Linked DNA regions of Bombyx mori. The protein of the gene in region 1 purifies or fractionates together with the protein of each later gene. This does not show direct contact. Links are inferred from orthologs where the notes say so. Each region holds a gene or a part of one and is shown in the gene's direction. Other genes may lie near its edges.

Evidence for each region.
Region 2: the proteins of soluble NSF attachment protein 29 (region 1) and alpha-soluble NSF attachment protein purify together in Drosophila melanogaster (affinity purification with mass spectrometry; 3 studies listed by BioGRID, with this or other methods). This does not show direct contact. The link is inferred for Bombyx mori from reciprocal best matches to the Drosophila melanogaster genes Snap29 and alphaSnap.
Region 3: the proteins of soluble NSF attachment protein 29 (region 1) and syntaxin-17 purify together in Drosophila melanogaster (affinity purification with western blotting; 4 studies listed by BioGRID, with this or other methods). This does not show direct contact. The link is inferred for Bombyx mori from reciprocal best matches to the Drosophila melanogaster genes Snap29 and Syx17.

What each region holds. Positions count from the first base shown.
Region 1 is NC_085122.1:5,757,447-5,761,399, reverse strand, and holds soluble NSF attachment protein 29, read left to right. Parts: upstream 1-1,537; coding exon 1,538-2,335; 3' UTR 2,336-3,389; downstream 3,390-3,953. Other genes in the region: eIF3c (eukaryotic translation initiation factor 3 subunit C), read right to left, coding at 815-907; gastrula zinc finger protein XlCGF57.1, read right to left, coding at 3,430-3,953.
Region 2 is NC_085113.1:1,629,103-1,633,035, forward strand, and holds the start of alpha-soluble NSF attachment protein, read left to right. Parts: upstream 1-1,133; 5' UTR 1,134-1,275; coding exon 1,276-1,367; intron 1,368-3,131; coding exon 3,132-3,328; intron 3,329-3,933. UniProt on the Drosophila melanogaster protein: Required for vesicular transport between the endoplasmic reticulum and the Golgi apparatus. Also between the endosome and phagosome.
Region 3 is NC_085130.1:9,423,775-9,427,817, reverse strand, and holds the end of syntaxin-17, read left to right. Parts: exon of another isoform or gene 1-563; intron 564-1,169; coding exon 1,170-1,324; intron 1,325-2,027; coding exon 2,028-2,150; intron 2,151-2,906; coding exon 2,907-2,986; intron 2,987-3,063; coding exon 3,064-3,244; 3' UTR 3,245-3,390; downstream 3,391-4,043.

The sequences.
Region 1 (3,953 bases):
CATCACTGTACTATTCCGGAATCAAAGCATCTTGTTATACAAGTCAAGACAAATTAATAACAAATTGATATGCCAATCACTAGATGCACTTATTAAACTCATAATTGAAATAAATAGAAGTTTTAGTGGCTTACTATTGTTACTATTAAATTATTTATCCATGTATATTATTATATTACTCCAAATTATCTTTCAAGCAGTATGCCAGTTGACCAACAAGTCTACTAAGAGTTTAGGAACGAAAGAGTAGCACGAGCAACCCTTTGTCCTGCCAAGATGTAACTTGTGGGATTTTTTCAGATATTTTAAATTTAACATGGGTTGAATCCTATGTCATACCTTATTTATTATGAATTAAAAATGTTTTAATAATATTATACCATATTTTACAAAGATGACTGAATACAAGAAATAAAATTTATAATTAAAATAATTTCACAATCATTACAAAATATGGCTGTTCCCTTTGCCCATTCAATTTTTTGGACAAGTCGTTAGAAAGCTGTAAGCTGGCACAATAGCAGATTGCGAGCAGAGCAGAAATACATTATTGATCGCTACCCCCTCTATTAGCTACTGATAGTGGACATTTAGGAAAGAATTTAAAGGATCACATTTTTCAAAACTTCTAAAAGAGTTACAAAATTTTGCTAATTGCATTGCTGATTACCGAAAAAAAGTTTCATATATCTTGTCATCCTACATGAGATTAATGTTAGTCTCCCTTGGTAACTTAAAAAACTATTTATCTTTTTTTAAACTATAAATTGAAAATTTTGTTTCCTTGATTCCCAATTATTTATTTTAAATTTACCGTGTAAACTGGCGCGGGGGCGCGTACTACTGGCTCGTCCTCGCTGCTGCTCTCTGACTCCGAGTCCGTCCCAGTTGCAAAGAAACGACTCATATTTACAAGAGTTAGTTAATGCTTCTGTAAAAGAAAACTTCGTTAATTCCAAATGAACATTATTTGACTCCAATGGTAATTTATTTTCTTAAATATCTTAAATAAACATCAAAATTAGTAATAAATAGTTGACTTGTCCTCGCGTTGAGGTTATAAATTAGAACTGTTTAACATTTTTACAATACTTACTGTCTTATATTAAAAACAGAGTAGGTATTCAGTTTTCAAGCAATCCTCTGATGATAGACTTAATAAATTTGTAGCGAATAGAAAGAAAGCTCTCAAATACAGACCTTGCCCACGACTCACTTCATACGTCAAACGCATCAAAGTTGATCAAAGAGCTAAACTTTGTTTCAATTGTTCAATTGGAAAGGCAAAGGGAACGTGGCATATTGACTTTTTTTGTTCAATTAGACAGACACTTAAAAAAATCGTTTTATTTGGCTACATCCCTTTGCTCGTCGTATCAGATAAATTAAACCTAAAATAAACATTTATGGTACATACCTACCATAATAATTGTGTATTATCTGTGCTTACCACCCCCATAATTTCAAGTGCATTCTTTTTGAACATCACCAATAAAGTAACGAGAACACACCTACGTAGTAAATTACATTTTAAGCAATGTCTGGGCATAAATATTTCACAAATCCGAACAACCTATTCGAAAATGACGACGTCGATGATAACGAATTTGTAGATCGCTTCCGGTCAAGAATACCTCAAACACAGCAAGCAAATAAGCCTTATGGAGGTCATATTGCAGAACTGGAACGTCAACGCCAAGCTATGATCCAAACACAAAGAGAAATCGAACAACGGACAATAGATTCATCAACGAGAAGTATCGGATTGCTTCGTGATTCTGAACAAATTGGTATTGCAACGGCCGAAGAGCTTTCCCGACAACGTGAACAGCTACAGAACACAGACAGGCGACTTGATGAGATTAACACCAATTTAAACTATAGTCAAAAACATTTAAATGGTATAAAGTCTGTATTTTATGGTCTGAAGAATTATATTTCCGGAAAAAGTGATCAAACACCATCTAAAAGTCCAGCGACCTCGAATGTACGTAATGCTGGTACAAGTAGTAGCAGGCTTGATGAAACCCTAGATAATATGTCTAGGAACGTTGAAGATCGCTTTGAGAGTCATCCCTCAGCACGCCTACATGGTTTGTCTCAAGAAAGCGCTAAGAGTCCTGAAACAGAAAACGAGAGAGTAAATAATATACTTGATTCGAACTTGGATGAAATGGTGCATGCTATATCCCGGCTCAAACATCTAGGAGTTGCACTTGGTGAAGAGATAGAACAGCAAAACAACCTCGTGGATACTATTCAAGACAAAGTTGAGATTGCAGATATCAAGATTGGTAAACAAAATAAACAAATGAATAAACTACTTGGGAAATAGCAATAATTATAGCAAATTAAAGATTTATTTTAAACAACAACTAAAAGGGTCTATTAATCTATTAAATGTATCTGTTTATAAAGATTTAGCATGTTTTTAATGTGAGTGGTTTGCAAAATTCAGTAGTGTAATCATTTTGTGTGATAAGGAATACTAATGTATGGCAAAGTTTGATAAGATTATTTTTTATTTGAATCACATGACCAGCAGCAATTTGATAAACAACATGGTGTAAAAAGGGGATTTCATAGTAAAGGAAAAATCCATATATAATAAACCTACTAGTAATGTAAATTGTCTGAAAGGCTTCTTACTGCATACTAATGCTCTATACATTCGTCACCACTGCTGAGCTGACTGGCATTTTTATAAAGCTTCATAGTATGTAATAATGGTTCTTGTGTGATACTGTCCATTGTTAGCTGATCATGTACACTTAGTTACATCTAATAAAATGGTGTATGATTCATATTATTTAGGTAAACCTTTTCTGTATCATATTCGATCATCATAACCTTCATTCATTCTTCATAACTTTATTGTGCACAGTATATAGTAAAAAAAATTATCTTGTAATCTTTAAATAAATGTGTTATCTTTTTGGCTAGCAACTTATCATGACAAATTTCTTCTATTTGTTTCTAATTGTTGTTCATGCAATTAGAGACAGTTACAGTATAATAGCTAGGTTTCACTATTTTAAGATAAAGTTTTAAGTACACTTAAATATATATAAATAAGACTTGTGTGCAAATAAAACAATATTAGGGCAAAACAACCAATATAAGGTGAGTACTTACTTTAAGTACCTATGTTCTATTAACTAATCCAAATTTTAAATGGGTGAAAGTTCCAGACACCTCATCATGAATTATGTTCTTGCATCATAAAGTAAGGTACATACATACTAATATTGTTATCAATGAGTTAATGTTTGCCATTAACAATAATTTCATTTATATCCAAGAACCTAGCGATAAGTGTAAACAGTCATTATTATTATATATACTTATTTTATATTGTTTCCATTAATAAATATATTTCAAATCACAAATGCTTTATTTTCTTTAGTTTTTTAAATTCTAGATAGTAATTTACATATTTGCATCAAATACTTGTTCGAAGAAAGTATTATCAACAACAGTTTCCAATATCATGTCATTGGCATCAACATTATGAGTTTTTATATGTTTTTGAAGAACTCTTTTATTTGACAGTTTCTTCCCGCATATATTGCAATGGAGCTCCACAGTGGCATGAGATTCCATATGCATTTTTAAGCCTGAGGCTGTTGCAAAACCTTTGAAACAAGTTGTGCATTTGTGCTGTCTCTCTGTCGTGTGAGTGTGTGCAAAATGCACCAACAATGAATGTTTGGTGGCAAAGCTTCTTTCACAGTCTTTATTGGAACATTTAAATGGTTTTGGTCTCTGTTGGCCAGTATGAACTATGCTATGTTCCCGTAAATAAATAGCTCTGGTGTAAGCTTTAGGGCAACTAGGGCAAGCAAACTGTTTTACTCCAGTATGACTTTTCATGTGCATGACTAGAGTTGATTTTGCTGTAAATCGTTTTCCACATGTAACACATACAAACAGTTTACTGTTGCTCGAATGAG
Region 2 (3,933 bases), on another chromosome or scaffold:
TACAGCCCATCCGATGTTGGTGATTTATCGCTCAACATGAGACTCAGAAAGACCAGGAGCACAACTAAGCCACTGAGAATTCTCGTTAGCACGTTTAAAGAAGTACATGTAATAGTGCTCAGAAAACGCCATGGAGAGCAATTCATTCCATCCAACGATGATACGTTACAAAAAGATTTCTGGTAACTGTGATGAACCCAATGGTTCTAGGTGGTAGTTTGGAAAATCTTGGTCCTGATGGCGGACAGTAAATGTCAAAAATCTGTCGAAATTATCTCAAACAATTTATCAAAGTACTCTTAATGGAATATACAGCACAAAGCACAGAGAGAACCGAACGAACCTCCGTAGAAACATCGAAGTCCAATACTCTCAGAAGGTTGTAGGTATTTACTTTACCACAACTACTACAGCCTACTTTTGGGTTTTACTATTTGGAACTGCAAAGACAATGCCTTAAATGCTACATTTTTTGAATGAAACTACGGATTATGCGAAAAAAGTATTAGGTACCTAGTTGGTTTTTCAATACGTGCATGTTTATAGTTTGCTCTTTGGTACCTACAGCATGTACATATTTAATTGTGATATGATGATTACTCTCTTTTATGATGAAGCAAGTTCGTGGCGTTCAATATGGACAAAAGTTACTATTGAGGGAGTTCATACAGAGTCCCATCTTTCTTTCGTCGTAAAGTCGTGTTTTATGTAATTAACACCACAGTTGAAACAATATAAATTTTATTGATATAGCGGCATAAACAATTCTAGCTAATTATATTATATTAGTTATTTAACACATTATAAATTATTTTTATGTTTTAAATATTTGGCGGTAAAAAGGTCTCGTGTCACAGACTATATTCTGTTTTCCACATCTCGTGCGTTCCGGCTTACGCATCATAAAAAGGTGCGTACTTAAACGCCACACTATTATTGATTTTTTATATGTATAGATAGCTACAATCTTTTTCTTGAAAATTATAATTATGTACATTTTAAATATTTTAAGAGTATTTTTGATACAAATTAATATTATTTTAAATGGATATACATATTTATTTTTATATTGTACTGCCAACAACGACAAGAGTGTTTTTTTTTAAATAATAAACGACAGCACTTTTTTATTCTGGCAGCACCGAATTAATCGATGACAGCGAAAGATTTCTTCAGAACAGTGAACGTTGATGACGACATTTTGTCAATAAAATACTAAACCCTTGACGATATTAGTTCGTATTCCTAGTGTTTAGTGTTTAACTAGTCAGCAGAATGGCGGACAACGAACAAAAAGCGATGCAGCTAATGGCCGAGGCGGAGAAAAAATTAAGTTCATCAAAATCGTTCCTGGGGTCACTTTTCGGGTGAGAACAATGAACAATGTAATATTTTTCAAGTTCTTCCAATTTCCGATTCTAGATAATTAATCTCCAAAAAAAATTCCAGAATTACGCTATTTTTTTCCTGTTCTATCATTATTATTTTTTTAGTACTTTAGAAGAAATCCTTCAGTTTTAGTAAAGATTAATGCACCTTGCACCTAATTGTCTTAAATTATATTGGATATTTTATGTTAAATTCAAAATCTTATGTGCTAATTTACTTGTGAATGTGTGCCGCATTCACAAGTAAATTATTAGTAAATTATCAGCACGCAATTAAACTTTAAAAGTAAAGAAAAATCAAGACTGCAAATATTTATTTTTTCAGTTCTATGGCATGATTAATTAATGATTGACTCACTGTGGTTTGTGTACATATGTGGAGCAATTTATATTAAAAGCTAATTAAAAACGTAACTGAAATAAGGTTTATGCTTAAATAAAAATTCTAATTGTACAAGATGTGTTTTAAAAAAATTTATACTAATTTTTCACTCCAATTTGTTGTTATGGTGCATTTTTGCAATTATTAAGTTATCAGATTAGAATGAACATACTAGATCGCTTAACATAATTAGTTTCTAGCTGATATTTTTGAAAATTGTCATGGTTATATTGCAGTAAAATGAAATAACTGCTCATCTATCTATCAAGAGAATTGTGATTTAAGTCTGTATTAGGTAAAATATACAAGAAGCTTCTAAAGGCAGATAATGCTCAAATAATAGTCATAGTAGGCTGGGGTCACAGATAGCCAGTTTAACTATTATTATGCAAGATGCTCTAATCAATAATTTCTCTTTTTTCTCTTTCTTTCTTTTAAAAAATTATGCTTTCAATACTTTTATCAAATAATATTTAGTAGTTTTTTATTCTTTATATAGGTGAACAAGTTCACATTACTTGTTGTAAAGTGGTGGTTACTGGAGCCAGATAGACATCAGAACTTGAACGCTACAACAATCTTTAGACAGGTTTAAGCCTCAATTGTGTATAATAACATTCCTTCACCCTTCAAAATGCAATGCAGCAGGATTGTGTAGCACTCAGCCTTGTTGGCTTGTGGTATACCATATTATTAGTCAATTATAATTATGAACTGTTTGTGTAATACTCTGCTACTGTCTTATCTCCAGGGAATCCCTTAGTGGCCATTTACATCACCCACAGTTAGAGATGGGGTGTACCCCACAAGATGTACTAGTTTACTTGGCATTAAGTGATTAGATAAGGCCAAGTTTACGGGGTTATGTGATTTTTTTTTTGTAATTAAATTTGAATATTTAATGGGATACAATATATATAATTTCAATTGGACAGGTTTTTACTATGAGTATAACATACATAGTACGTAACGAAACTGAACCAAAAGTGTAAATACTCATAATAAATAAAGTATAGTTAGTAGTACTGGTGGTAGAAACATTGTGTAATAAAAATGAATCCCGCAAAATTATAATTTGCGTAAGTACTGGTGGTAGGACCTCTTGTGAGTCGGCGCGAGTAGGTACCACCATCCTGCCTATTTCTGCCGTGAAGCAGTAATGTGTTTCGATTTGAAGGGCGAGGCAGCCGCTGTAACTATACTTGAGACCTTAGAACTGATATCTCAAGGTGGGTGGCGCATTTACATCGTAGATGTCTATGGGCTCCAGTAACTACTTAACACCAGGTGGGCTATGAGCTCGTACACCAATTTAAGCAATAAAAAAAAACAACAGCTCTATTGTATAATCTGTTCATCAGAGGCTCCTCAAAAATCGAAGAGGCCGTAGACTGTTATCTCAGAGCAGCTAACTTATTCAAGATGGCCAAGAAGTGGCCTCAAGCAGGGCAGGCTTTCTGTAATGCAGCACAGCTCCACTTGAAAGCTGGTGTTCGCCATGATGCTGCCACCAATTTTGTAGATGCTTCTAACTGTTACAAGAAATGTGATGCTAACGGTAAGTTCATTATACAATTTCTATTATGTAGTTCATGTCATACTTTAATTTATTAGGATCTATATAATTGTTTGATTCTTTTAATAACTAAACAGGTCAGAATTGTCAACAAGGTTGTATAGCAAAGATCAGCTTGGCAATGAAGATATTTACTATAAATTTTATCAATTCTCATCTGTGTAAATATTTTAAACACATGTGGAAAACGTAACGCAATTTGCTTAAAGATGTTTCTTAGCCATCTTTTACCTGATGGTGTATCCAGCATACTTAACTTTCAATAATTATCAGCAAATGTTATGTTTGCTATTTAAAGTTTCCATGATCATGTGTGCTTACACAATTTATCGTTTGGACCTTCTGAGAGTGATTGGATTTCCCAATTAACTTTGTTCCTCCCACGTTAATTAGTGAGTGGCACAGTGCTAATGATTACCTCCTGAAGAATATCATAATTCATTTGTTTAAATAGTTTTGTCAGAACCCATTCCAAACCCTAGTTTTAATAGCGAACTAAATAAAATTTTTTTTGTCTGCATTGGTCTGTGGCTGGAAGATAAAATAAATGGCATGTGTTTTTTTTCCATATTTCGTCATGTTCATTA
Region 3 (4,043 bases), on another chromosome or scaffold:
CCATGCCGCGCCACCCCACGCTACCGGGCGGTACAAGTGACACTTGCTACTGACTGCACTGCTCATCTCCATTAGCGACGGTAACCACTCATCCTCGAGTGGGCTGTATGCTTTTCTGGCCGTCAAAAACTAGTCAAAAGTAAAATTTGTACATCAATATAGTTGAAAAGTGTGCAAAAGATTTGCAGTCTGAAAGAACGCTATATTACGCAATAATCTATAAAGATAAAATGAAATCCAAAAAATAACCATTCCTTAATTCTTTCTTAATAACTATGGTAACTATAAGTAGGTATCGGAACCTTTCAATTTCCAGAGCGTATTTTTAACTTTATTTAGAGACTTATTAAGGACCGATAACAATACAATACTTTTATTGCTTAAGTCGAATACGCTGACTAGTCCAGAGAATGCTTTCGACAAAGATAATGCATACATGGCAGGCAGCGGCTTGGCTCTGCTCCTGGCATTGCTGACGTCCATGAGCGACGGTGACCACTTACCATCAGGTGGGCCGTATGCTCGTCTGCCTCCAAAGGCAATAAAAAAAAAAAAAGATAAGACGAGTCTAGAACATATTCGAACTATCTAGTTCTATCAAGAATGTTCTGGAAAATTGTAGACATAGCCGACACGACTATAAAAGGCGTGGAATACGTGACATAAAGGCCGGCTCGGTGAATCTAGTGTAACCCCTCGAGGTAACTGCAATAGGTTGGAGCATTCAATATAAGCAACGAACGGGTCACTTGAAGCGAAGCGAAAGAAATTAATTATGATATTGAGGTCTACTTTAATTGTCGTAATAACTAAACAGATTTTTCATTAATATTTCGGTGAAGAGTTTCATTTTGTTCTCATGTATGGTGTTTTAGTTTTAGCTATACAGGACTATATTATTATAGTGTGTGTGGTGGGAGCCTGCACTACTCGGCACCATGTACACATGCACATACATATGTATGCCCGCGTCTGGCTTGTTTCTGCAATGGAGTTATCAGGCCAGCCAATGGAAAGATTACCCTAAGATAACTCGTAAGTCACGTCCCTAGGGGCACGGTGCGGCTGCCGCCCGATGGCTTCGGCAATCTCCTCACTTGGTGGATCATCAGCTCCGCTAATTGACGCCTATAAAAATGTAACCGTAATGTTTGGTAACGTGGGTTCAGATACGTCTCCGTTGTCGGCGAACCGGCGCCCGGTGGAGGCGGTGGAGGTGGCGGCGGGCAGCACCGTGTCCTCGGAGTCGGTGGGCGTGCTGTCCCACCACGACGAGGTGCGCGAGCTGGAGCTCTCCTCCATACAGTTGCAGGTCAACGACCAGGTCAGTCCACGTTCATCGTTACGGTTGCAGTTACGATTGTCTCGTGCCCACTCGAGCCGAGTGTTGCTATGTATTGAGGATTGTGACGCGGTCACGTAAGCACCATGATGCAGAGCCGTTTTCTCAAGACACTCAGTGTAATATACACTCCCGGACACATCTATCGGCCCACCTAGTGTTTTAAGTTTTGACGGTCTCTAGCTAAAAATAAATGTTAGGTGGAGCAATAAGTTTTTATGTAGTTTTGAAGCTGATTTATTGTTCAACTTGCTTAGCTATGTTTTTTTTTAAATTTCGAATTCTTAATTATGAAAAAAAAAAGTGATAGCGTATAAGATGGTAAAAGTCAACTAAGCGCCTTGGTGAAGGGCAAGAGTAGTAGTCTGGATTTGGATTATTTTTTGGGTTAGTCTGGATTCTGGAGGGTGTATTTTTTTTTTCCTAACTAAGCTGATAGCCTTGAGAGGCTATGTCAGCGTCGCCTTAACTAGTAGGTGAGCTCACGGGGCTCAAACCTGATGACGTTGCTAACACTGGCCCTAGGAAGAGCCGTGCTTTGCAGAATCTACCACCGGATCGGAAACGCGACCCACTGAGAAGATCCGGCGAGAAACTCAGTGGGCTGTGTTTGAGGGTTAATTTACTTACGATGACCGGGGAGCGTGTCCGGGAGTGTAGTGTGTGAGTGCGCGTGGTTGTGCAGGAGAGCTCGTTGCGGGAGCGCGAGGCGGCGCTGCGCGGCTGGTGCGAGCTGCAGGGCGAGGTGCGCGCGCTGCACGAGGCCTGGCAGCACGTGCAGGCCGCCGCGCTGCACCACCGACACCAGGTGAGGGGGGGGGGGTCACACCCGCTATACTATTCACTGCTGGTAGGACCTCTTGTGAGTCCGCGCGGTTAGATACCACCACCCTGCCTATTTCTGCCGTGAAGCAGTAATGCGTTTCGGTTTGAAGGGTGGGGCAGCCGTTGTAACTATACTTGAGACCTTAGAACTGATATCTCAAGGTGGGTGGCGTATTTACGTTTTAGATGTCTATGGGCTCCAGTAACCACTTAACACCAGGTGGGCCGTAAGAACGTCCACCATACTAAGAAAAAAAAACCACGCACTCGGGGACACAAAGGCAGTTTTCCAATTACAGCACAAGAGCGCATTATGCGGCATAATGCTCAACGTTGAATGTTTCAACTACAGCAACGCTTCGCACGATCGAGCACTCTCAAAAGTACTGCTCTCGCGTGATACTCGCAATCGATGCCGACTCAGTGACAGAAAATTGACAAGTGTTTTTTCTTTAAGTTGGCATTGATCGAAATTTTGTTTATATTATCGTTAGTAATATTATTTAATGTTGAAAAAAATTGTAAGGCTTCCGTTTCGTCGTAGTTTCATAGAAATAATCAATGTTAATTAAAACTGTGCTAACTTAGCGCACTCTGCTGATGCATTTGAAAACTAATTCACGTTCCAATTAAGCTTCAGCATAATTCAGCATTGTGCGTCACTGAGTCGCATTATGCTCCGTAATTGGAAAACTACCAGTGTTAGGTAATGTAAGGGTCCCCGGCGCCCCCATTGCAGGTGTCGGCGGCGGCGGCGCACGTGGAGGCGGCGGCGGGTGAAGTGCGGGCCGCGCGTCAACACCTCTCCGCGGCCGAGAGGTACCCACACCTACCCATTGTGTCCCTCACATCCAACAAACAGTACTTGTAGATAACGATTGCTTATACTCAAACAGAATAAAGGCAGGCGCGTTGGGCGCCAGCGGAGCGATAGCGGGAGCCCTGGTGGGGGGACCGGTGGGGGTCGTGGTGGGGATCAAGGCGGGAGCCCTCGCTGCGCTGGCTGGTTCTGCGCTCGGATACCTGGGGGGGCGGGTGCTCGCCGCTCGACAAAAACAGCCCCAGAAACAAGAATGATTAGAGACGTAGACGCGGGTCGTTACCGCACGAACTCGACCGGTGCTAAAAGCTCTGTGAGGGTTTCGAGTGCTCATCGTCTATAGCCACTCATATACACACAAGTATACAAAAACACATATAATTAAAGGCATAAAATACAATAATATGTTATGATTCAGTTCGACAAACCATTTATTTAAATAGCCACCATTTTTACTAACCGAATAGTAGTAGTGGTGTGCGGCCCCTTCGACCAAGACTAGCGCTGGCTCAGAAACCTTCCCCGGGTGCTAGCGGACTTCATCACGATCGGAGGAATGGCCTGCAGAGGAGTGCGTCGGCCAAGAACAAACATACAAACATTGATAATGTTCCACAATGGGTATATCAAGCTGAAAGGTCGCAATAGTATCAACAATGTAAACCACGTTAAAAATGTATAAAAATTAAAAGTCGAATTAGTTCAAATTAGTTTCACAAAAGAAGTAGGTACTTTATTAATTATTTCAACTGCTCGTTGACAGCTCTGAATTACAACAAAACTACCGCTAGGCCATTTATTCCGTTTAATATTTCAGAGAGATATAGACAATTACAAATTAGTTCAACTTATTTCAAACAATGAAAACGACACAAATTTTAATTATATTAATATACCTGTTGACAGGTACATTGGCTCAAAAACTCAAAACCAATTTTACAACTTCTTACGGCTTATTACGCAACTTATTACGGCGAATGTTACTAAATTTAACCTTTATTGTAAAGACAAAAGAAGCTGTTTAATGTGCCCACACAGTCGGAGCGGCGCCCGCTG